Anolis sagrei: one gene and its partners. The protein of the gene in region 2 binds, or shares a complex with, the protein of the main gene of each other region. Links are inferred from orthologs where the notes say so. Each region holds a gene or a part of one and is shown on either strand. Other genes may lie near its edges.

The links. The genes of interacting proteins can lie anywhere in the genome.
Region 1: MAP3K5 (region 2) and DAB2IP share a complex: the UniProt entries of both Homo sapiens proteins name them as parts of the cytoplasmic complex. The link is inferred for Anolis sagrei from reciprocal best matches to the Homo sapiens genes MAP3K5 and DAB2IP.
Region 3: MAP3K5 (region 2) and ARHGEF6 share a complex: the UniProt entries of both Homo sapiens proteins name them as parts of the cytoplasmic complex. The link is inferred for Anolis sagrei from reciprocal best matches to the Homo sapiens genes MAP3K5 and ARHGEF6.

What each region holds. Positions count from the first base shown.
Region 1 is NC_090031.1:2,168,220-2,175,609, forward strand, and holds the start of DAB2IP (disabled homolog 2-interacting protein), read right to left. Parts: upstream 3,014-7,390; 5' UTR 2,756-3,013; coding exon 2,635-2,755; intron 1-2,634. UniProt on the Homo sapiens protein: Functions as a scaffold protein implicated in the regulation of a large spectrum of both general and specialized signaling pathways.
Region 2 is NC_090021.1:79,748,039-79,755,486, forward strand, and holds the start of MAP3K5 (mitogen-activated protein kinase kinase kinase 5), read left to right. Parts: upstream 1-4,439; 5' UTR 4,440-4,583; coding exon 4,584-4,998; intron 4,999-7,448. UniProt on the Homo sapiens protein: Serine/threonine kinase which acts as an essential component of the MAP kinase signal transduction pathway. Plays an important role in the cascades of cellular responses evoked by changes in the environment.
Region 3 is NC_090030.1:25,206,562-25,214,525, forward strand, and holds the start of ARHGEF6 (rho guanine nucleotide exchange factor 6), read right to left. Parts: upstream 3,014-7,964; 5' UTR 2,884-3,013; coding exon 2,719-2,883; intron 1-2,718. UniProt on the Homo sapiens protein: Acts as a RAC1 guanine nucleotide exchange factor (GEF).

The DNA.
Region 1 (7,390 bases), on a different chromosome or scaffold from region 2:
TGGTTTCTCCTGTAATAGGCAGTAAGAGCACCTAAAGCTTCAGAGAGTTTCTGTTCTAACATCTCAAAGCTCCTTGCTTGAGCAGTGATGGCACGATCATCAGCATAGATGAAACTCCCTGTCCCTTCTGGCAGTGGCTGGTCATTTGTGTAAATGTTGAACATTAACGAAGCGAGCACGCTCCCCTGAGGCAGGCTGTTCTTCTTCAAACCAGAAGTTTGTGGGATTAACATAACTCAAAAACCACCGGACGGACTGAAATCAAATTTAGACACAAGACACCTCTCAAGCCAATGAGTGACCATCACTCATTAAAACACTGGAAAACACAGAAGAAGGGATGCAAAAAGCCAAAAAAATAAAAAATGCATTACAATGCATGTGCATAATCACATATATACACATATACACACACATATATACATGTATATACATACAAAGCACATATACACAGACTGGGCCACAGCAACGTGTGGCAGGGGATGGCTAGTAATTAAAAAAATATTTGAATACTCATTACGAAATCAGAATTTCCAAAATTGGATGGGGTCCGTATCATAACTATAATGAGTTCACTGCTTTTTCGTTACTTTTCGTTAAGTAATTGTGCCAATGAGGACACTTCAAGGGTCCCTTTCTCCTTCATTTTTACAGCTATTGGCATGAAACTTGGTACGGTTATAGAACCCAGTGACCACTGTGTGCCCACCAAGTTTCAGAATGTTTCGCTCCTCCACTGATTTTGGGGGAATTTTCAAAATTTTTACAAACAACATTAACAAAACCCTACAAGAGCACTCTCCTTGAATTTTCTGCACAATGACACAAGATGACAGGAGAGCATTCACTCCCAGTTTCTGAGAGATTCACACATATACTGATTTTTGGGGGATTCAACCATTCATTGGGACTCTGTCAGGAAGGAGGACCTCTTCCTCCTCCTCATTGGGGCTTTCTGATGCTGAGCGGAATTCTGGGAAATGTAGTTCAGGGCAAGGCCTTTTGCATTCTCTGCCATAGGGCTCCTCGCCTTCCCAAACTACAGTTCCCAGGATGCTGTGCTCTCTCTACAATGTAAATAGAAAAAGTCATTACACGCTCAACTGGCTGCATCCCACTTAACATTCCAGCTTCCAGAGAAGTGGCAACAGAACGACCTCCCTCTTGCATAAAACCCTATACGGCACCGGCCCTGCGTACCTGTCCGAATGTATCTCCTTCTACGTCCCGCCTTGGAATTTAAGATCTTCTGGGGGAACCCTGCTCTCGTCACAAATGAGATTGGCTGGGACGAGGGACAGGGCCTTCTCGGTGGTGGCCCCCCGCCTGTGGAATTCACTCCCCAGGGAAATTAGATCATCGTCATCCCTCCTCTCTTTCAGAAGGAAATTAAAAACATGGATATGGGACCAGGCCTTTAGGTAATCTGGCAGACTGACAATGGACAATGACGACTAAAGTTTTGGAACCAGATTATGATAAGCGGAATGAATTTATTAATTATGGACTTGGCAAAACAATGGCCACCAGGCTAGCTTTTTATTGTATTAATGTAATGTTTTAATTGTTATAATTATTGTTATTATGTATTTTATTGTTTCAGCAGTGACCAGGGGAGCATTTGCACAATTAAAACTTGTGCGCCAGCTGCGCCCAGACCTTGGGAAGTCTGACTTGGTCACGGTAGTCCACGCTCTAGTGACATCCCGTATAGACTACTGCGCGCTTGTGAAGCTGGTGGGACCGAGAGCAGGGCCTCCCCAGACGATCTTAATGTCCTAACTGGTTCATAGGCGGAGACGCGTTCGGACAGGTAGGTCGGGCCAGAACCGTTTACGGCTTTAAAGACTAAAGCCAGCACTTTGAATTGTGCCCGGTAGCAAATTGGCAGCCAGTGGAGCTGGCGCAGCAGCGGAGTTGTATGCTCCTTGAGTGGCGCTCCTGTTAGCAACCTGGCAATTGTGGGAGTTGAAGTGCTGGACCATTTGAAGCTTCCGAGCAGTCTTCAAAGGCAACCCCACGTAGAGAGCGTTGCAGTAGTCTATGCGGGATGTAACCAGAGCGTGGACTACCGTGGCCAAGTCAGACTTCCCAAGGTACGGGTGCAGCTGGCGCACAAGTTTTAACTGTGTGAATGCTCCCCTGGTCACCACCGAAACCTCGGGTTCCAGGCTCAGTGACGAGTCCAAGATCACACCTGAGCTGCGAACCTGCGTCTTCAGGAGGAGTGTGACCCCATCCGGTGCTATACCAAATCTGATGGAACTGGACCTCTTCGAATTTGCCCGGCACACTTAAGAACAAGCTCATTGCTTGGAGGCTCCCTAACACCAAATCTGGACCGGATATGAGACTGGGCAGGAAAGACATCTCGGACAACGTGTGGCTCAGCCATCTACCTGGCATGCCTCTTAATCCAATAGTTTTGGTCCAACTCTAACAATAATAACACACGACACTCCATTCTGTGCAGCCCGAAAGACGGTATCCTTCCTCCATCACCAGAATGTGCATCCCATACAAGTCTCCTCCATACCTGTCCCACACCTGCCATTGGCCCCGAACTCTACCTGCCTTCTAGGTGCTGAGCAACAGATGCCAGAGGTGCATGCAAGAACAAAGAAAGTGCGTTACCCCTGCTGAGTGGCCGGTTGCGGCTGCGGGACCGGCTCCGTTGCCGGTGAAGCCTGGACCTCCGCAGCAGCCGGTAGTAGTAGGAGGGCCTGCCGGAGCTTCTCCTACCATTCACCGACATCTCTTTTGGGGGACGGTGGTGGGGGTCCTCCCAGAACCCTTCCACTTTCTCCACTTACAGACAAGGAAGAAATAAAGGATGGGAAGAGGAGGAGGAGGAGAGGAAATAAATAAAGATCACAGAGCTGGGAGTCCCAGCCTGCAAGGCATGTGCCGGTCCAGAAATAAAAGCCGGGGACTTCTCCTCCGGCTCCAGGGCCAACATTCTCAGCAGGCCAGATAAACATAGCCCAGAGTTCTTTCCTGCCCCCTCCCCTCCCCACACTTTCAAGATAGGAGCTGCAAAGAGGAAACAGGACTTGGAAAGGGAACAAGTTGAGGCGGGAGGAAGTCCTGGACTGGATTGCCACTGCTTTGTGAGGCCAAGGCAATAGCACACACGGGAACAGGTCTGGCTGGGGTTGTGGGTCCCTACAGGGAGAAAGGCCGGGCATCAATAAAGGTTGCACTATGTAGTAAAATTTGAAAAAAAATGTTCTCTTTGTGGTTTGAAAGTGTAATTTCCTTGTTAATTGTGCGGTTCTTACTTTGCACCAAGAATTGGGAAGCCCTGGCCCTTGAGCACTGTAACTGGGGGTCAGCTGTGACCAGCAGTGCTGCAGAATTAAAAGAGGAATGATTGGAGAGTGAAAGGGAGAAATGTGGAATGGTGAGGGTTGAGGTCCAAAACACCTGGAGGGAAGACTGAAGTTGACCCGTGCCTTTGTCCCCTGGGAATTGAACGCTTCAGTCAAGCAAGGGATCATCTGCATACCCACGTTGTGGGAGTTGGAGTCCAAAACACCTGGCCCAAGTTGGCCCATGCCTTTGTCCTCTTGGAACTGGACACTCCAGTAAATTAAGGGATCATCTGCATACCCACGTTGTGGGAGCTGGAGTCCAACACACCTGGAGAGAGGGACCAAGTTGGCCCAGGCCTTGGTCCTCTTGAAACTGGACACTTCAGTCAATCAAGGGATCATCTGCATACCCACATTGTGGGAGTTGGAGTCCAAAACACCTGGAGGGAGGGCCCAAGTTGACCCATACCTTTGTCCTCTTGGAACTGGACACTTCAGTCCATCAAGGGATCATCTGCATACCCACGTTGTGGGAGTTAGAGTCCAAAACACATTAAGGGAAGGCCAAGTTGGCCCATGCCTTTGTCCTCTTGGAACTGAACACTATGGTCATTCAAGGGATCATCTGCATACCCAGGTTGTGGGATCTGAAGTCCAAAACACTTGGACTTCAAGTTGGCCCATACCCTGGCTAGAGGCAAGTGGGCCAGGTTTACTCCCCTTAATGATGGATCCCTCAATAAGTGAGAAATGGTAGTGCCTCCCATCTTGGAGATATTTCTGGGAATTGTAGCCCCAAAAGTAAAACATTCCAAGTCCTGCATCTTTTCCATTTTCATGGGCCCTGGACAGGTGGGAAAAACAACATTTCCTTAAGTTTTAGTTCTCAAGTATCTGCTATGCCCAAGTACACTGCCCCTGCATATGGAGGCTCTCTCTGTTGGCATATGAACAAAAAGGAGCTCCATTCAGCTCAGCCTTCTCTTGCTTCTGCAGTTGGTCTAACCCATTCACAGCTTGGGCTGACATGTGAACCTTGCACATTGAGATTCCCTTCTATCCTTCCACCACATGGTGAAATTTGCAAATGCTCACCCACTAGCATCAAAAAACGAATTGAGACTGAATTTTCTCCCATGCACCAAAGACACGCGGAGCAAAGGTTCACCAGAAAGCAATAAATATTCCTGGAAAGTCCATGCCAGATTTTGCAGCGTTCCTCCCCCAAAACCCACAAGTAACTTTCTGAAGGCCAGGAATGGCCAATCAACGCACCAAGTTCAGGTCAAAGGAGCAAAGGCACAGCTGGGCGACAGATGACTCCGAGAGGCACAGACAAGGAGGAGGAGGAACTCTTTCTTTCTCTTACTTGTACCTATTCCTCCTTTGGGAAAAACTGCAATCTGCCCTGGGCATGCCAGACCCTTGCAAGTATTTGCATTTGCCCTCCCCCCCAAAATATACTGGGCGTCCTGCAACACCAAATGGACTGACATTCTGCAAATGGAAATTGGGGCATGTGAGATCAAATATACCTGGTTGTGGTCAATGTGGCAAAGCACAACTAGGAAAGACAGCAGCTGTTTGCTTTTGCCTGAACCACCAGGGAAGTGCCCATTGAAATCATTGGGTCTATACCAGGCCTGGGCAAACTTGGGCCCTCCAGGTGTTTTGGACTTCAACTCCAACAATTCCTAACAGCCAGTAGGCTGCTAGGAATTGTGGGAGTTGAAGTCCAAAACACCTGGAGGGCCGGTAGGCTGTTAGGAATTGTGGGAGTTGAAGTCCAAAACACCTGGAGGGCCCAAGTTTGCCCAGGCCTGGTGCATATAGCACTTTTGCATCTTCAATTCTGTTTGCAGCCACAAAGGAAAGCTGAGGACAAAGGAGGAAAATGGAAGGAGGCGAGAGAAACTGGGACGTTTGAAAAACAGCTGTAAAGTGGGACGGTACAGGACTAATAATAATAATATTAATAATAAACCTTTATTTATGCCCCACTACCATCTCCCGAAGGACTCGGTGAGGCTTACAAGATGCCAAGCCGAAATACATCAGTAAAAACAGCAACAACAGCAATACAGATAATGCATAAACTCATAAACAAAGCAATAAACAGTAACAATAACACCACGGCGCATTAAAAACCTATGGCAGGGCCAAATGTAATAATTAAAATTATAAAAAATGCTGGGCATGACAAGGTGACATATAACTAGGATGGGTATTTGGAGAGAGATGGAGCGAGCAGAATAAGGATTGCCACTGCCACGTTACAGAAGTTGGAGAGGCGGGAATGGTACTATTGAGATTGGAAATCATGCTGATTTTTATTTTTCAATAATAATAATAATAATAATAATAAAAATTTCTTTATATTCTGCTCTATCTCCCCAGAGGGACACAGGATGGATTCTTGTAAAGAAGACCGTTTTAATCCCACCGAATGCCACCAAATGTGAAGGTGCGAGTGGTAAAACACCCACTAATCTATGAGGGAAGCCGGGCAACGATCAATATCAGCCTAGGAACTATTTTATAAAGGGACTGTTAATGACAGAAGGTCTTATTCAGTGGATAGCGTAGCGTTTACTGTTTCTGGCTGACTTTACTATTGCAGGCTGTTCAACTTAGGAGAAACTGTATCAGGCAAGGCTTCAGGAAAACAGTAACAAGTTTATTTTAACAGGAGTATAACATATTTAACTGTTTCTTCTCAAGAGGCACAAATCTTGATGGTTACATTGGAAAGGTTTCATGAGTAATCTCAGGCACAGACTTCAAAACGTTTCACCACAGGAACAGCAGGCTTAAACCCAGCCAAACCTTGATTCTTAATTCAGAATCAACAACCCCCTGTAGCTCTCTCACTACCGGGTCCTTCTCTGCAACCACTTTGGTCACCAATTGATTCCCTGAATCTCCACCCTGAGATCCAGTCTTTCCTATAGCACACCGGCTACAGACACATTCCCTGAATCTCCACCCAGAGACTCAGTCCTCTCAGTAGCTCTCCGGCCACTGGCTGACTTTTTAAAATAGCTGCCTCCTCAAGAGGCAGTTGGCTCCGCCCCTGTTGCTATGGCAACTCAGCTAACGCCAAGCCACCATCTCCAACAAAACATAATCTCCCATACTTACCATCCCTAAACCACTATCCAAACTACCCATAACCAAAGCAATAAAACTTACACATCGTCACAATTCTAAACATAAAAGGCAAACTTTCAATGCCTGAATACAACAACAATACATCCATGTGAACAAAATGTATACAACCCAAAAGACATCGAATTCCATGTGCGTCTCAGCATTTTGAGCTGGACATTATTTTCGGCGGTGACCAGGTTTCGGCGGTGACCAGGGGAGCATTTGCACAGCTAAAGCTTGTGCGCCAGCTGCGCCCATACCTTGGGAAGTCTGACTTGGCCACGGTAGTCCACGCTCTGGTTACATCCCGTTTAGACTACTGCAACGCTCTCTACGTGGGGTTGCCTTTGAAGACAGCTCGGAAGCTCCAACTAGTCCAACGCTCGGCAGCCATGATTTTAACAGGAGCGGAGCGCAGGGAGCATACAACCCCCCTGTTGCGCCAACTCCACTGGCTACCGATCTGCTACCGGGCTGAATTCAAAGTGCTGGCGTTGGCCTTTAAAGCCCTAAACGGTTCCGGCCCAAGTTACCTATCTGACCGCATTTCTGCCTATGAACCCACCAGGAGTTTGAGATCTTCCGGGGAGACCCTGCTCTCGATCCCGCCTGCTTCTCAAGCTCGGCTGGCGGGGACGAGAGATAGGGCCTTCTCGGTGGTGGCTCCTCGGCTGTGGAACGCCCTTCCTACGGACATTAGACTAGCACCATCTCTAATGGTATTCCGCAAAAAGGTGAAGACCTGGATGTTTGTGCAGGCGTTTGAGTAATTTAGTGCAATCTGGTAATGGAACATAGGAATGGAACAATGGACGGCGAACCTGGACTACGCTTGGATGAGGAGAAGATTGGGGACGGTTGTTGTTTTTTGTAATAATTGTGCATTGTAATGGCTTATTGGTAATTTATGGATAATGTGTTAAGTC
Region 2 (7,448 bases):
CTAAGAGGCCTGAAAACTTGTACCGTATTGACCTTTCCTCAGCTTCATGGCTTGCTAAAATGCCTAAAGCAAATTCTGTTGTGACTGATGCTCAACCTAAACCAACTCAAATTAACCAAACCTCTCCTTCTGATAAGGAAGGAAGAAAGTTGGATGCTATGGCCAAAAAGTTCTACTCCTCAGCATGCCTCTTTGCACGCATGGCTCACTATGGAGTATACATGAGTGTATACCAGACTGCCTTGTGGAACAAAATTGCTCCCTATCTAGACCTGTTACCACCAACTGAACAACCTCTAGCCACAGCTTTTAAACAAGAAGCTCTCCTTTTGGCCTCCCTACAAAAAGACCTCTCCAAAAATATTGCTGACACCGCAGGCAAACTTATTGCAGGATCAGTGGCCCTTCGTCGCCACGCCTGGCTAAGAGCAGCTATCCTTTCTCAATCACAACGCACCCTGATTGAAAATCTCCCCATGGATGAGGCAGGCCTTTTCAATCCTGAAACAGACTCTCAGTTAAAACACTCCCATGAAATGAAACAAACAGTATACAAGTATGACCATCAACCATACTCCTACCAACGCCAACGATGGGGCTCCTATTATTACCGTCCTCAATACTACAATAGGCCCTACAACACCTCATTCTACAGGGGACGACAAAGACCTTACAACCCCTCCACATCATCAAGACGACCGCCCCTACCTTCCAGAGGTCAGTACCGTGGTACCAGGCCCCCCAATACCAACAAACGCCGTTTTTAGCACACCTACACTTACCGACACTCCCTCACCACCCCACACCCAACCGCTTACATACCTTGACAGACTACATACCTTCCTTCCGACATGGCAGTCCATAACCACAGACACCTGGGTCTTGGACATCGTTGAAAGGGGTTATGCCATAGAATTTGACAATTATCCCCCAGTGGGTAATGTACTGCTAACACCACCTTCCCAAATCATTTGGGAAGAGATTCACTCTCTCCTCCAAAAGGGCGCCATCTCGCCTACTCCCTCACAAGATTCAGACATCTGTTTTTTCTCCCGTTACTTCCTGGTGGACAAGAAAGATGGTGGTCTACGCCCCATCCTTGATCTACGTAAACTCAACACTTTCATTACACCACGTAAATTTCATATGGTGACACTCCCCAAAATCCTTCCCTTCATTCCCAAGGACTCATGGTTAGCCACGATTGACCTTCGAGACGCCTACTTCCATATTTCAATTAGACACTCCCACCGCAGGTTCCTTACCTTTGCGGTCCAAAACAAACTATTCTCTTTTAATTCTCTCCCGTTCGGACTTTCCACATCTCCAAGGGTATTCACCAAATGCATGTCTGTTATAGCCGCACACCTCCGCCAGCAAGGCATCACAGTTTTTCCTTACCTGGATGACTGGATGTTTTGCTCATCCTCTCGATCACAACTGTGCAAGGATACTGATTATACTTTATCTCTTTTACAGGATCTGGGTCTGGTTGTGAATCACGAAAAATCTCACCTGACCCCAACACAACGTATCCAATTTATAGGAGCCATAATAGACTCCACACTTCAGAAGGCCTTCCTCCCAGAAGATCGCTTCCTAAATCTGTGTCAGGCTATCCTAACCCTACAACAATCCCGCCAAACATCAGCTTGGGCTATCCAATCTATCCTTGGCCATATGGCTTCTACCACAAGTGTAACACCCTTTGCCCGTCTAAGAATGAGACCCCTCCAAAGTTGGTTTCTCAAAGCGTTCGACCCCCTTCACGAACCCCAGTCACGGGTCCTAAAACCACCACCCCCTGTCCTCCAGTCACTCTCATGGTGGACAAAGCAATACAATGTTCTCTCGGGGATGCCATTCAACCATCCCCGTCCCTCCATGTCCCTCACAACCGACGCCTCCAACTCAGGTTGGGGAGCACATCTCAAGGGATTCCAGATCAGTGGCCACTGGTCCCCACAAGAGCAGAAGCTCCACATCAATGCCTTAGAAATGATGGCAGTGGAGAAGGCTCTTCGGGCCTTCACACGCATTGTGTCCAATCATGTCATACAAATAATAACAGACAACACCTCTGTCAAATACTACATCAACAAACAGGGAGGAACACGCTCACGCACACTCCTCCACATCTCACAACAAATTTGGGAGTGGTGCATTCTGAAGAATGTCCTCCTCACAGCCATCCACTTACCAGGCCAGGACAACATCCTGGCGGACTCTCTAAGCAGATCCTCAAAAAACAACCACGAGTGGCATCTCCACCCCAGACAGTTCAAAGCCCTCACACGCAAGTGGGGCGAACCCAGAATAGACCTATTTGCATCTCCAATAAACAACCACTGCCCACTCTACTGCGCACGGCTCCACCCTCGCGCATCCCAAGGTTGTCTCGGGGACGCCTTCCTATTCCAATGGTCGCCCGGCCTCCTCTACCTCTTCCCACCGCTCCCCCTCCTATCCCCAGTCATAGCCAAAATAATTCAGGACAACACGGACTGCATTCTAATCACACCCTGGTGGCCACGACAACATTGGTTTGCCCCCCTTCTCCAAATTTCCAACAAACAATACCTCCACCTCAGCCAAACCCCGGACCTTCTCACAGTAGAGAACGGCCTGGTCCTACACCCCGACCTGCAATCTCTACGCCTAACGGCGTGGAGAATCAAACCACACTAGACCTTTCTGATGAAGTCTCCCGTATACTTTTGGCGGCCCATAAACCTGCCACCAAGAAGTCATATGACTATAAATGGGCCTCTTTCAAATCCTTTGCTCACTCACTGGGACACAACCCTATCTCTGCCCCAGTTCCCTTTGTTTTAGACTTCCTTGTCCACCTTTCCGACAAAGGTTTCTCCCTTTCTTCGGTGAAATGCTACCTGTCAGCCATTTCATTTTTCCGAAGGAAGTCCGGGCTGCCGTCCCTTTTTCAGGACCATCTGGTACAGTTGTTTCTTAAGGGCTACAAAAATATCCACCCTCCTGTCTCCCCCCCTCCCCCCCAGTGGAGCCTGGAGCTAGTGCTATCCCAATTATCCAAACCACCATTTGAACCTATGGCCTCTAATGATATCTCCCACCTGTCGTGGAAGACGGCCTTTCTTGTGGCCATTACTTCAGCTAGGAGAGCCAGCGAACTCGCGGCCCTCCGTTCAGACCCTCCTTATGTGAGATTCCACCCTGACAAGGTTGTCCTCCGCACCGATGTCACGTTCCTTCCTAAGGTGGTCTCTCATTTTCATATGTCACAAGACATTGTTCTACCAAATTTTTTCCCCAACCCAGTTGGAGGTAGTTCTGCACTCCCTTGATGTTAAAAGAGCACTCTCCTTTTACTTACATAGAACTTCCGTTTATAGGAAGTCTCCCAGATTGTTTTTGAAATACAGGAAAGACGTACTTGGCCAGCCTGTGTCCTCCCAAGGACTGGCCTCCTGGATTGTTGCAACCATCCGTCTAGCCTACCAGCTCGCAGGGAAAGAACCTCCATCCCACCTCGTGGGACATTCAACCCGCTCTGTGTCTACATCTCAAGCATTCCTCAAGGGAATTCCCTTGGATCAGATTTGCAAAGCAGCTACGTGGGCTACGCCGTCCACGTTCGCCGCTCACTACAAGCTTGACATACAGGCAAAGCAAGATGCTAGCTTCGGCAGAGCAGTTCTTTTCTCCTGTGTGGCATGACCCACCTCCAGGTCAGTAGCTTGCTATTCACCCATAGGTGCGCATTTCACGGACGACACGAAGAATAAATAAAGGTTGCTTACCTGTAACCGTATTTCTTCGAGTGTCAGTCCGTGAAATCCGCACGACCCGCCCGTCCTCCCCTCTGTCATGCCATTCTCCTGGCTGCTGTTTAGCGCTGGGAACTAGATAATGGCGGCGCCGCTCGGCGCTTATATCCAGGGGGGCGGGGGAATGGGCGGGGCCTAGGTGGCTCAAATAATCATTTTTAATTCTTTAAACTTAGAAATGTTCCGAGTTTCTGCGCATGCGCAAAGAAGAACCCATAGGTGCGGATTTCACGGACTGACACTCGAAGAAATACGGTTACAGGTAAGCAACCTTTATTTTCTCGATGTTCAATGACAGGCCGAGTTTCTCGTATGCTTCTGCAACATTACAGTTATGAAGTAGCAATGAAAACAATTTTATGGTTGGCAGGTCACCACAACATGATGAACTAACTGCATGAAGGGGTGGCGGGATTGGGAAGGTTAAGAGCCACGGCTCTACTTGAGGAAGGAAAGCAAGCGATTGGGCGAAACCCTTCCAGGGCAGGGCCAGCAGGGGGCGCTCTTCCGCAGGGATTGCCCCTGGCCAACCGTGGGCGCTGCTGCTGCTGCTGGGCGGCGGGTGTTGACGGGCGCGCGGCGAGCTCCGCCCCGTTTCCCTCCCTCCCTCCCTCCCCCTCCCGAGGGGCGGGGCCTCTCCTGGCTCAGGCGCGGAGCGGCAGAAGCGGCGGAGGCGGGAGCGATGCAACAAGTGTCCCGCGAGCAGAGCGGGGGCCCTTTAAGTCCCGGAAGGCCGGCGCGCGCCTCGATGGTGCCGGCTTGGGCTCCGAAGCGGCGATGAGTGACAAGAGCAGCGAGGCGGCGGGCATCACCTTCTCGGTGCCCAGCCTGGTCGGGGGCGGATGCCCGCTGCTGCTCTGCGAGGACGCCTTCGGGAGGAAAACCGGGGCCGGGGCGGGCGGAGCGGGGTCCTCGCGGGCAGCTCCGCCCGGCGCCTTCTGGAACGAGGAGAGCGGCCACGGGAGCACCACCGTCGCCTGCGAGGCCGGGGCCCGGTCCCGGGGGGCCCGCCGGACCACGGTGTCGTACGTGATCAACGAGGCCAGCCCGGGCGCCGTCCTGCAGGCGGAGAGCGGGGCCCTGCAGAGCCTGCGCGAGGCGTGCGAGACCGTGGGCGCCGAGCTCCAGGCGCTCCACTTCGGGAAGCTCGACTTCGGAGAGACCGCTGTCCTCGACCGATTCTACAACGCCGGTGAGGCAGGCCCCCCTCCCCTCCCTCCCCCCTCCCTCTTCTCCCGCCCTCCTTGCGTCTCCACTGGAGGACGAACGCGCCTTGGCAGCCCTCCCTCCATGCTGGGGAATCCCCGACTTGCAAACATCCCACTTGCAAACGACTCACAGTTCAGAACGGGGCGGAGACAACAGGAAGTGAGGGAAATCAATGTATTGTCAAGGCTTTCATGGCCGGAATCAGGAGCTCCCCGTGGCGCGATGGGTTAAACCCTTGTGCCAACAGAACTGAAGACCAGCAGGTCGGAGGTTCGAATCCGGGGAGAGCGCGGATGAGCTCCCTCTGTCAGCTCCAGCTCCCCATGAGAGGAAGATGGTAAAACATCAAAACATCCGGGCGTCCCCTGGCAACGTTCTTGCAGACGGCCAGTTCTCTCACACTAGAAGTGACTTGCAGTTTCTCAAGTCACTCCAGACACGAAAACAACAACATGGCCGGAATCACTGGGTTGTTATAAGTTTCCCAGGCTGTATGGCCATGTTCCAGAAGCATTCTCTCCTGATGTTTCACCTGCATCTATGGCAGGTATCCTCAGAGGTTGTGAGGCTTGGTCTCAGGCCCCATCCTTTCCCCCCTCTGAGGATACCTGCCATAGATGCAGGTGAAACATCAGGAGAGAATGCTTCTGGAACATGGCCATACAGCCTGGGAAACTTACAACAACCCAGTGAGAGAAATCTTCCCTTTCAGAAGGGAAATTTGCTCCTGAAAGAGTTGTTGTCAGAGCGGAAAGGTGTCTCCGCTGAACCTTTCTCACCCGTCCTTCAAATGAAATTTCCCAAAATGATCACAGGGACAGAAATCGAGGTGAAATCTCCCGAACAGGGGCACAGGCAGCAAAGGAAATGCCACTGGGATGTTCACTCTTCCATAGGCTATCCAAAGTATTCCCCTGACGTTAAGTCTAGTTGTGTCTGACTCTGGGGGTTGGTGTTCATCTCCTTTTCTAAGCCAAAGAGCCAGCGTTGTCCGTAGACGCCTCCAAGGTCATGTGACCAGCATGACTGCATGGAGCACCATTACCTTCCCGCCTAAGCGGTACCTATTGATCTTCTCACATTTGCATGTTTTCAAACTGTTAGGTTGGCGGAAGCTGGGGCTAACAGCAGGAGCTCACCCCACTCCCTGGATTCGATGTGCCAACCTTTTGGTCAGCATGTTCAGCAGCTTAGCATTTAACTTGCTGCGCCACCAGGAGCTCCAGGATATCCAAAGCTTGCATAATAGATATTGCTGGAGATTGGCATTTAAGAAGGGTACCTGTTCAGACTTCACACATTCAATTTAAGAACAAGCCCACAGAACCCCTCTCATTTGTCACATGGGGACTGCCTATACTGGAAGGGGTGCCTTTACACTGGACCAGGAGTGTACAAGGGAATCCTGGGATTTGTAGTTTTACAAGAATTTGCAGTTATGAGTGCAGATTCATGCTGCTTGAACTGTTGTGGACTTCCTATGGAGTTGCACTTTGGCGAGGCAACCAGCCCTCTTTGGCTAAAAAAGACTTAATGAAACCACCAGCCCTTCCAGACAGGCACTTTATCCCAGAATCTGATCCGAGGTTTTCTCTTTGTCCCAGATTATCTGGCAGTGAAGACTCATATAATCCACTTTAAAGCAGAAAACCTGGGATCAGATCCTGGAATATAGGGCCTTTCTGGAAGGGCACTACGACACCAATGATTGCATATCATTGAGCCAGAGCTGTTAAAGCGACATCAAACTGCATTATTTCTGCTGTGGAGATCAGGGAGCCTTCCAGCTGTCTGGGACTCCAGCTCCCACAGTTCTTGACAATTGAGCAAGTTGGCTAGGGCTTCTGGGAGTTGGAGGCCCAAACAGCTGGAGAGCTGCAGTTTGAAGACACTTGGTGTAGATGCAAACAGTCTTTCTTCCCTGTCAGCACAGGAGGGCCAAGGGAGGCAAGGCACTTCCTTGACTGCAGATGAGAGATACTGAAGGGGAAGGGAGTCCCCTTCCTTCAGCACTTCCAACCCCTTCCTAATATAATAATTCTTGTGTACCTGCAGTGGAACCTGTTGGAGTATAATCCCTGGAATGGCCTCCTTTATCTCTAAGGCCTGGCACTAGAATTTTGCCCCCTTTCCTGATTTTGGAAGATTTTCATATGCATAATGGAAATGGGACACAAGCCTCAGCACCAAATACATTTTTGTTTCATATTATACACCTTATCCAGGGCCCTGGTGGCACAGTGGGTTAAACCACTGAGCTGCTGAACTTGCTGACTGAAAGGTTGGTGATCCAGATCCAGGGAGTGGGGTGAGCTCCTGCTGTTAGCCCCAACTTCTGCCTACCTAGCAGTTCAAAAACATGCAAATGTGAGTAGATCAATAGATACTGCTTCGGCGGGGAGGTAACGGCGCTCCATGCAGTCATGCCTGCCA
Region 3 (7,964 bases), on a different chromosome or scaffold from region 2:
ACACCCGAGAGTATTGAAGGAACTAGCAGAAGTAATCTCGGAACCATTGGCAATCATCTTTGAGAGTTCTTAGAGAACGGGAGAAGTTCCAGCAGATTGGAGGAAGGCCAATGTGGTCCCAATCTTCAAGAAGCAAAACAAGGATGACCCAAACAATTACCATCCGGTCAGCCTCACGTCGATACCAGGCAAGATTCTGGAAAAGATTGTTAAGGAAGTGGTCTGCAAACACTTAGAAACAAATGCGGTCATCGCTAATAGTCAACATGGATTTATCAAAAACAAGTCATGCCGGACGCATCTGATCTCTTTTTTCGATAGAGTTACAAGCTGGATAGGTGCGGGGAATGCCGTGGATGTTCTTTCAAGGTGCTTGGCGATTTATGATGACTCTAAGGCAAATATTCATAAATATTGTTTAGAGGCAAATGGCTTTCCCTTTCCTCTGAGGCTGAGAGAGTGTGACTTTCCCGATGGATTTCTGCGGCCAAGTAGGAATCATAGAATCATAGAATCCTAGAGTTGGAAGAGACCTCATGGGCCATCCAGTCCAACCCCCTGCCAAGAAGCAGGAATATTGCATTCAAAGCACCCCTGACAGATGGCCATCCAGCCTCTGGTTAAAAGCCTCCAAAGAAGGAGCCTCCACCACACTCTGGGGCAGAGAGTTCCACTGCTGAACAGCTCTTACAGACAGGAAGTTCTTCCTCATGTTCAGATGGAATCTCCTTTCTTGTTGTGGTGACCCCCAACCATAACATTATTTTCATTTCTACTTCATAACTGTAATTTTGCTACTGTTATGAATCATAATGTAAATATCTGCTATGCAGGATGTATTTTCATTCACTGGACCACATTAGCACAAATATCTGATGCATCCAAATTTGAATGCTGTTGGGGTTGGGGGAGATTGATTTTGTGATTTGGGAGTTGGAGTTGCTGGGATTTATAGTTAACCTGTACTCCACCAACGATAGAATTGAACAAAACTTGACACACAGAACTCCCATGACGTACAGAACATACTTGAAGGTTTGGTGGACATTGCCCAAACGTGAATACTGGTGAAGTTTGTAGAAAATAAACCTTGACATTTGGGAGTTGTTGCTGGGATTTATAGTTCACCTACAATCAAAGAGCATTCTGAACTCCACCAACAATAAAACTGAACATAACTTGACACACAGAACTCCCATGACCTACAGAACATACTCCAAGGTTTGGTGGACATTGCCCAAACGTGAATACTGGTGAAGTTTGGAGAAAATAAACCTTGACATTTGGGAGTTGTTGCTGGGATTTATAGTTCACCTACAATCAAAGCGCATTCTGAACTCCACCAACAATAGAATTGAACAAAACTTGACACACAGAACTCCCATGACCTACAGAAAATACTCAAAGGGTTTGGTGGACATTGCCCAAACATGAATACTGATGAAGTTTGGAGAAAATAAACCTTGACTTTTGCGAGTTGTTGCTGGGATTTATAGTTCACCTACAATCAAAGAGCATTCTGAACTCCACCAATGATAGAATTGGGCCAAACTTCCCTCACAGAAGCCCCATGAACAACAGAAAATATTGTGTTTTCTGATGGTCTTTGGCGACCCCTCTGACATCCCCCTCGCGCAGAGGCGGCCCTAGGTAATTTTCAACGGTATTCAAACAGTATTTTGGCGCCCCACCCCACCCCACCCACCCACCCAACCAATCACTGATATATATTTTCTGTTCGTCGTGGGAGTTCTGTGTGCCATATTTGGTCCAATTATATCATTGGTGGAGTTCTGAATGCTCTTTGGTTGTAGGTGAACTATACATCCCAGTAACTACAACTTGCATATGTTAAGGTCTATTTTCCCCCAAGAGCACCTCAAGAGCACCCCTGTGCAAAATCAACTATACTGCAAAGGCTTACTTTGCGTAATGGTTGAGCCGCCCCTGTGGAGGACCAAGTAAATGCCTAGTGAGGGCATATTTTGTCAGATGTGGGTACATGAGACAGTGGTTTGTACTGATCTCATGGGTTAGGCTCTATAAAGGAACCCAATGATGGCCTTTTCCTATTAGATGGCTCCACTGCCGTCCCTTTCAACACTTCTCAACCTACTGAAGCCTCTCACGAGGTCTCCAAGGGCCGCCCGTAAACAAAAATACATTGCAGTAGTCAAGCCACAAGCATTTCCTATGAGACCACAACTTGGAAAGACCTCAAGGTCTATTTTCCTCCAAGAGCGCCTCAAGAGCGCCCCTGGGCAAAATCAACTATACTGCAAAGGCTTACTTTGTGTAATGGTTGAGCCGCCCCTGTGGAGGACCAAGTAAATGCCTAGTGAGGGCATATTTTGTCAGATGTGGGTACATGAGACAGTGGTTTGTACTGATCTCATGGGTTAGGCTCTATAAAGGAACCCAATGAAGGCCTTTTCCTGTTAGATGGCTCCACTGCCGTCCCTTTCAACACTTCTCAACCTACTGAAGCCTCTCACGAGGTCTCCAAGGGCCGCCCGTAAACAAAAATGCATTGCAGTAGTCAAGCCACAAGCATTTCCTATGAGACCACAACTTGGAAAGACCTCAAGGTCTATTTTCCCCCAAGAGCGCCTCAAGAGCGCCCCTGGCCAAAATCAACTATACTGCAAAGGCTTACTTTGCGTAATGGTTGAGCCGCCCCTGCCCTTGCGACCCCCAGGTTGAGAAACGCTGCCTTACCTTCTCTATAGATCCTGGAAGGAGTCGGAGAAGGAGTTTGCACAAGACGACTCCATCTTTGAGGGACGTTTTGAGGAATTGCAGGGGGTCCCCGACCTTCATTTTCGGGGAGTTCAAGGCTCCCAGTGAAATCAACCAGGTCACAATTTGCTCTTCGGGGTTCATGCTGGTAGGGTTTCTCCGTCTCGATGAAAAGGCCGAGCCACCTCCACAACACTGCCTTCCTGCTTCTTCTGGGCCAAACCGCCCTGAGATGTCACAGATTGCCCTGCGCTGAAAGCCACTGTCCTTTTCTCTTTTTTTTTCCGGTTTACAAAGTCACCAGAAACTGACTTCCCTCTTGACTAGAGGAACGGGTTTGTGCGCATTTGCACACATGGCTTCTCGTCTGCAGAAGTGCCAAGGAGGGAAGCTTCTGGGGCTAGAAGTCGTGCCGTAAACACGGATTTCCTGTGTCGCTGAAAACAGAAACTTCGTGCATCGATAGCTTTCTACATCCTTCCTTCATCTTCAAGGATAGAAGCCTTGGTTACACCTGGAGAATGAGTTGGGACAGGGGCGGCACAATCCAGTACGCAAAGTGAGATGGCAACTACAGATTACTGAAGTCGAACATGACCCCCCCCCCCCCATAAAAGATAGTAACTTATAGTTTTGCTAAGGACAAGCACATGAGACTTGATAATACGGGTTTGTGGCGCAGCTGGCTGAGTGTCAGCTGCATTAAGATCACTCTGACCAAAAAGGTCATGAGTTCGAAGCCAGCCCGGGCTGGAGTGGGTGTCCAGCCATTGTGTAGCCCGTTGTCGACCTTTGCAACCCGAAAGACAGTTGCATCTGTCAAGTAGGAAAATAAGGTACCACCTTGTGTGGGAGGCTAAATTTAACTAATTTATGAGGCCATAAAGAAAAAAGACTCCGGGGAATGTGGAATGCGGAAGAACTTCATCGGTGTTGTTGATGGATGATGAAAAGCAGCAACTCCCCTGGCGGCCAGAAAAAAGTTAAATAGCCTCGGTGTATTTGTCTGTTAAATGTTGTTTGTCAAACTGGCATTGAATGTTTGCCATATATGTGTTTACTGTAATCCGCCCTGAGTCCCCTGCGGGGTGAGAAGGGCGGAATATAAGAACTGTAAATAAATAAATAAATAAATAAATAAATTTATTTATCGTGTCATCAGCAACCATACCATTGTGTTACAATTCTAACACAACAAAACAAATACACAGATTAAAAAAAAACCCACAGATTTTGCAAACTTGGTAGTTGGTTAAATGTCCTTGGACCAGTACCTGGCCACTTGGAGTGCCTCTGGTGTTGCCGCAAGGTGGTCCTCCATTGTGCATGTGGCAGGGCTCAGGGTGCATTGCAGCAGGTGGTCAGTGGTTTGCTCTTCTCCGCACTCGCATGCCGAGGATTCCACCCTGTAACCCCATTTCTTAAGATTGGCTCTGCATCTCGTGGTGCCAGAGCGCAGTCTGTTCAGCGCCTTCCAAGTCGCCCAGTCTTCTGTGTGCCCAGGGGGGAGTCTCTCATCTGGTATCACCCATGGATTGAGGTGCTGGGTTTGGGCCTGCCACTTTTGGACTCTCGCTTGCTGGGGTGTTCCAGCGAGTGTCTCTGTAGATCTAAGAAAACTATGTCTTGATTTAAGTCGTTGACGTGCTGGCTGATACCCAAACAGGGGATGAGCTGGAGATGTCTCTGCCTTGGTCCTTTCACTATTGGCTGCTACTTCCCGGCGGATGTCAGGTGGTGCAATACCGGCTAAGCAGTGTAATTTCTCCAGTGGTGTGGGGCGCAGACACCCCGTGATAATGCGGCATGTCTCATTAAGAGCCACAGCTACTGTTTTAGTGTGGTGAGATGTGTTCCACACTGGGCATGCATACTCAGCAGCAGAGTAGCATAGCGCAAGGGCAGATGTCTTCACTGTGTCTGGTTGTGATCCCCAGGTTGTGCCAGTCAGCTTTCGTATGATGTTGTTTCTAGAACCCACTTTTTGCTTGATGTTCAGGCAGTGCTTCTTGTAGGTCAGAGCACGGTCCAAAGTGACTCCCAGGTATTTGGGTGTGCTGCAATGCTCCAGTGGGATTCCTTCCCAGGTAATCCTCAGAGCTCGGGATGCTTGTCTGTTCTTAAGGTGAAAGGCGCATGTCTGTGTTTTAGATGGATTAGGGATCAGTTGGTTTTCCCTGTAATAGGCAGTAAGAGCACCTATAGCTTCTGAGAACTTATCTTCAACCATCTCAAAGCTCCCTGCTTGAGTGGTAATGGCACGATCATCAGCATAGATGAAGCTCTCTGTCCCTTCTGGCAGTGGCTGGTCATCTGTGTAGATGTTGAACATGGATGGAGCAAGCACGCTCCCCTGAGGCAGGCCGTTCTTCTGTTTCCGCCATCTGCTTCTCTGGCCCTGAACTCAACAAAAAAGCTCCTGTTTTGTAGCAGGTTTCCTATGAGGCGGGTGAGGTGGTAGTCCTTTGTGATATTATACATTTTTCTCAGGAGGAGGCGGTGGGTTAAGCCTTGGTCAATTTGCCAAGACACTAACAACAACAAGGACTCTTCCCATGTTAGATAGTGCGTACATTTAATCAAGTTTTTATTCCCTAGGTTTCATATATAGCAGAAGGTAGCACATTTATAGTGGAGCCCCTGGTGGCGCAGTGGGTTAAACCCCTGTGCCGGCAGGACTGAAGACCGACAGGGGAGAGGCAGATGAGCTCCCTCTATCAGCTCCAGCTCCTCATGTGGGGACATGAGAGAAGCCTCCCACAAGGATAAAAACATCAAAATCATCCAGGTGTCCTTGGGCAACGTCCTTGCAGACGGCCAATTCTCTCACACCAGAAGTGAGTTTCTCAAGTCGCTCCTGACACAACAAAAAAAAGCACATTTATTGCTGAGAAACCACCTCCCTTTACACTTATGTGCTCTCTTGAACTTCTATGGGACTCTGGTGGGAGGGATAAGTGGGTATGCTTTCTATAACATGATTTCTATTTTTATATATTCCTCCCTGTGTATCTGACCTTTTCCTGACCCCTTTGCCCAATTCCCCTTTATTGAAAAATGTATAAAAATATAAGAAGCCACCCCTGTGACCCTGGAAAGAAGGAAATCTCCAGTTGAAAAAGACCCTTATCAAAAGACACTATTTGCATGGACAATAACAAAGGACTGTGACCTCTGGCCTTGGAGTTGGCCCCCCAGAGGAAGCGGTCACTTGGCATTTATGATCATATCTCAACTTGGCATTTATGATCATATCTCAATTTGTCCTATTCTGTTACTGATTCAACTTTTACCCACTGAAACCACAGCCAAAATTCCCTCATTGTTCCTGTCTCTCAGCACTGGAAAAATCCGGATTATGGCAGGCTTGCCAGACAATCAACGTTTCTCAATGACAATAGGAATGGCTGGCTCGCACGCCCCAGGACTCGTTGGCCGTTTGGACATTTCCTACCTCCATAATCCTCCCAAGAATCCATTGTTTCCCTCTCGTCCCGCCTCCCTCCTGATTTGTCAGGATGCCAAGACGGCAGAAGCCCAGCGATTGGCCCAGGTGCTCAGGAGGTGGCCAAGCCTCCTCCCAGCTGTAGAGCGCCAGCCAATCATCGTCGAGCCGGCAGAGGGGCGGGGAATGGGAGATTCAAACCTGGCAGCTCTGTTTTATGTATAAAAAGGCCTTTATTTTTGTACACTGTATGCTCAGCTTGGTGAAATATTGCTGCTTTGCATCCTTTTCAGCTGAATCGCCATAAAATGATCTTGGTGGCACTTCCTTCAACTTTGGTGAGATTTCTTTTGGGAACTTAGGAAAAACCTTTTAAATTGGGCTTCTCTTTGCTCACCATTGTAGCGAACCCTCTTTTTTGTGGGTCCGCAGGGTCTCTCCTTCAGGGCCAGACCCTTTTAAATTCCTCCATGATTTCAATAGTGCTATAAGAGGTCGGATTATACAAAACACTGGGGAATTTCTGTGGGGTTCAGCATGAACTTTAAAGGCTGGGTAAAAACAAATGTATTTTCATTACAATAGTTATTTAACTGGCCAACAGCACCACCTACTGGTAGCTTCACTTTACTCTATCTATGGATTGAATCCATAATTATGAATGCCACAGAAAATCTGTTCTGGTTGCTAAGTTACCACTATGTAACAAAATTTCAAAAAAATATGTTCCTTGTTTGAAAATGTTGAAGTGTGTTACTTAATTGCTAATATTGAACAGACAGAGGTCAGTGTATGGAGATTCAGTGACCGCATTTCTGTGTATGAACCCACACGATCTCTTCGATCATCTGGAGAAGCCCTGCTCACGCTCCCACCTCCTTTGCAGGCGCGATTGGTGGGGACGAGGGAGAGGGCCTTCTTGGTGGTGGCTCCCCGACTCTGGAACTCACTTACCAGGGACATCAGACATGCCCCAACTCTGTCAGTCTTTAGGAGGAGCCTGAAAACATGGTTGTTCCAGTGTGCCTTCCCAGAATAAGGAAAACTCTCCGCAATATGCCCTCAAAATGCACTTTACCATTGATTTAGGATTGACTGCGTTCCCTCATTTCTCTCTGTAAATCCTATCCCAGTTATATCCTACCTTGTTCACATCAGCATTATTTTTAATTTTTAATCTATTACATTTGGCCTGGCCATTGGTTTTAAATGCTTATATGTCACTGTTGATTGGTTATTGCCTTTTTAATGTGATTTATACGATTTGTATTGTATTGATTGTTTTATTGATGTTTTGTTTATTGATGTATTGTGGGCTTGGCCTCATGTAAGCCTCACCGAGTCTCTTGGAGAGATGGTAGTGGGGTACAAATAAAGGTTATTATTATTATTATTATTATTATTATTATTATTATTATTATTATTATTATTATTATTCTGAAGCCACCCCTAAGCTTACAGCAATGTATCCTGTCTTTGAAGTGTTGCAAAACTTTTTACACAACTAAAATAGTCAAGATTGGTATGTTTATACTTTGACTTAGGCGATCCCTTGTAGCTTGAGGATGATGGCCCTTCAAGTGTCGTGTCTTGGCGGTGGATACGTAAGTGGCTGTGGAGCCCTATTCTTGATCTTCTGCAGTGAGGACATTGGTTTCCAGGTGGAAAGCGGTCCCTGTCAGGGTTGGCTTGATGCACCTTCCTTTTGGCATGTTTCTCCCTTTAGCCCTTCATTCGTGCAGCTTCGAATTCCGCAGCACTGCTGGTCACAGCTGACCTC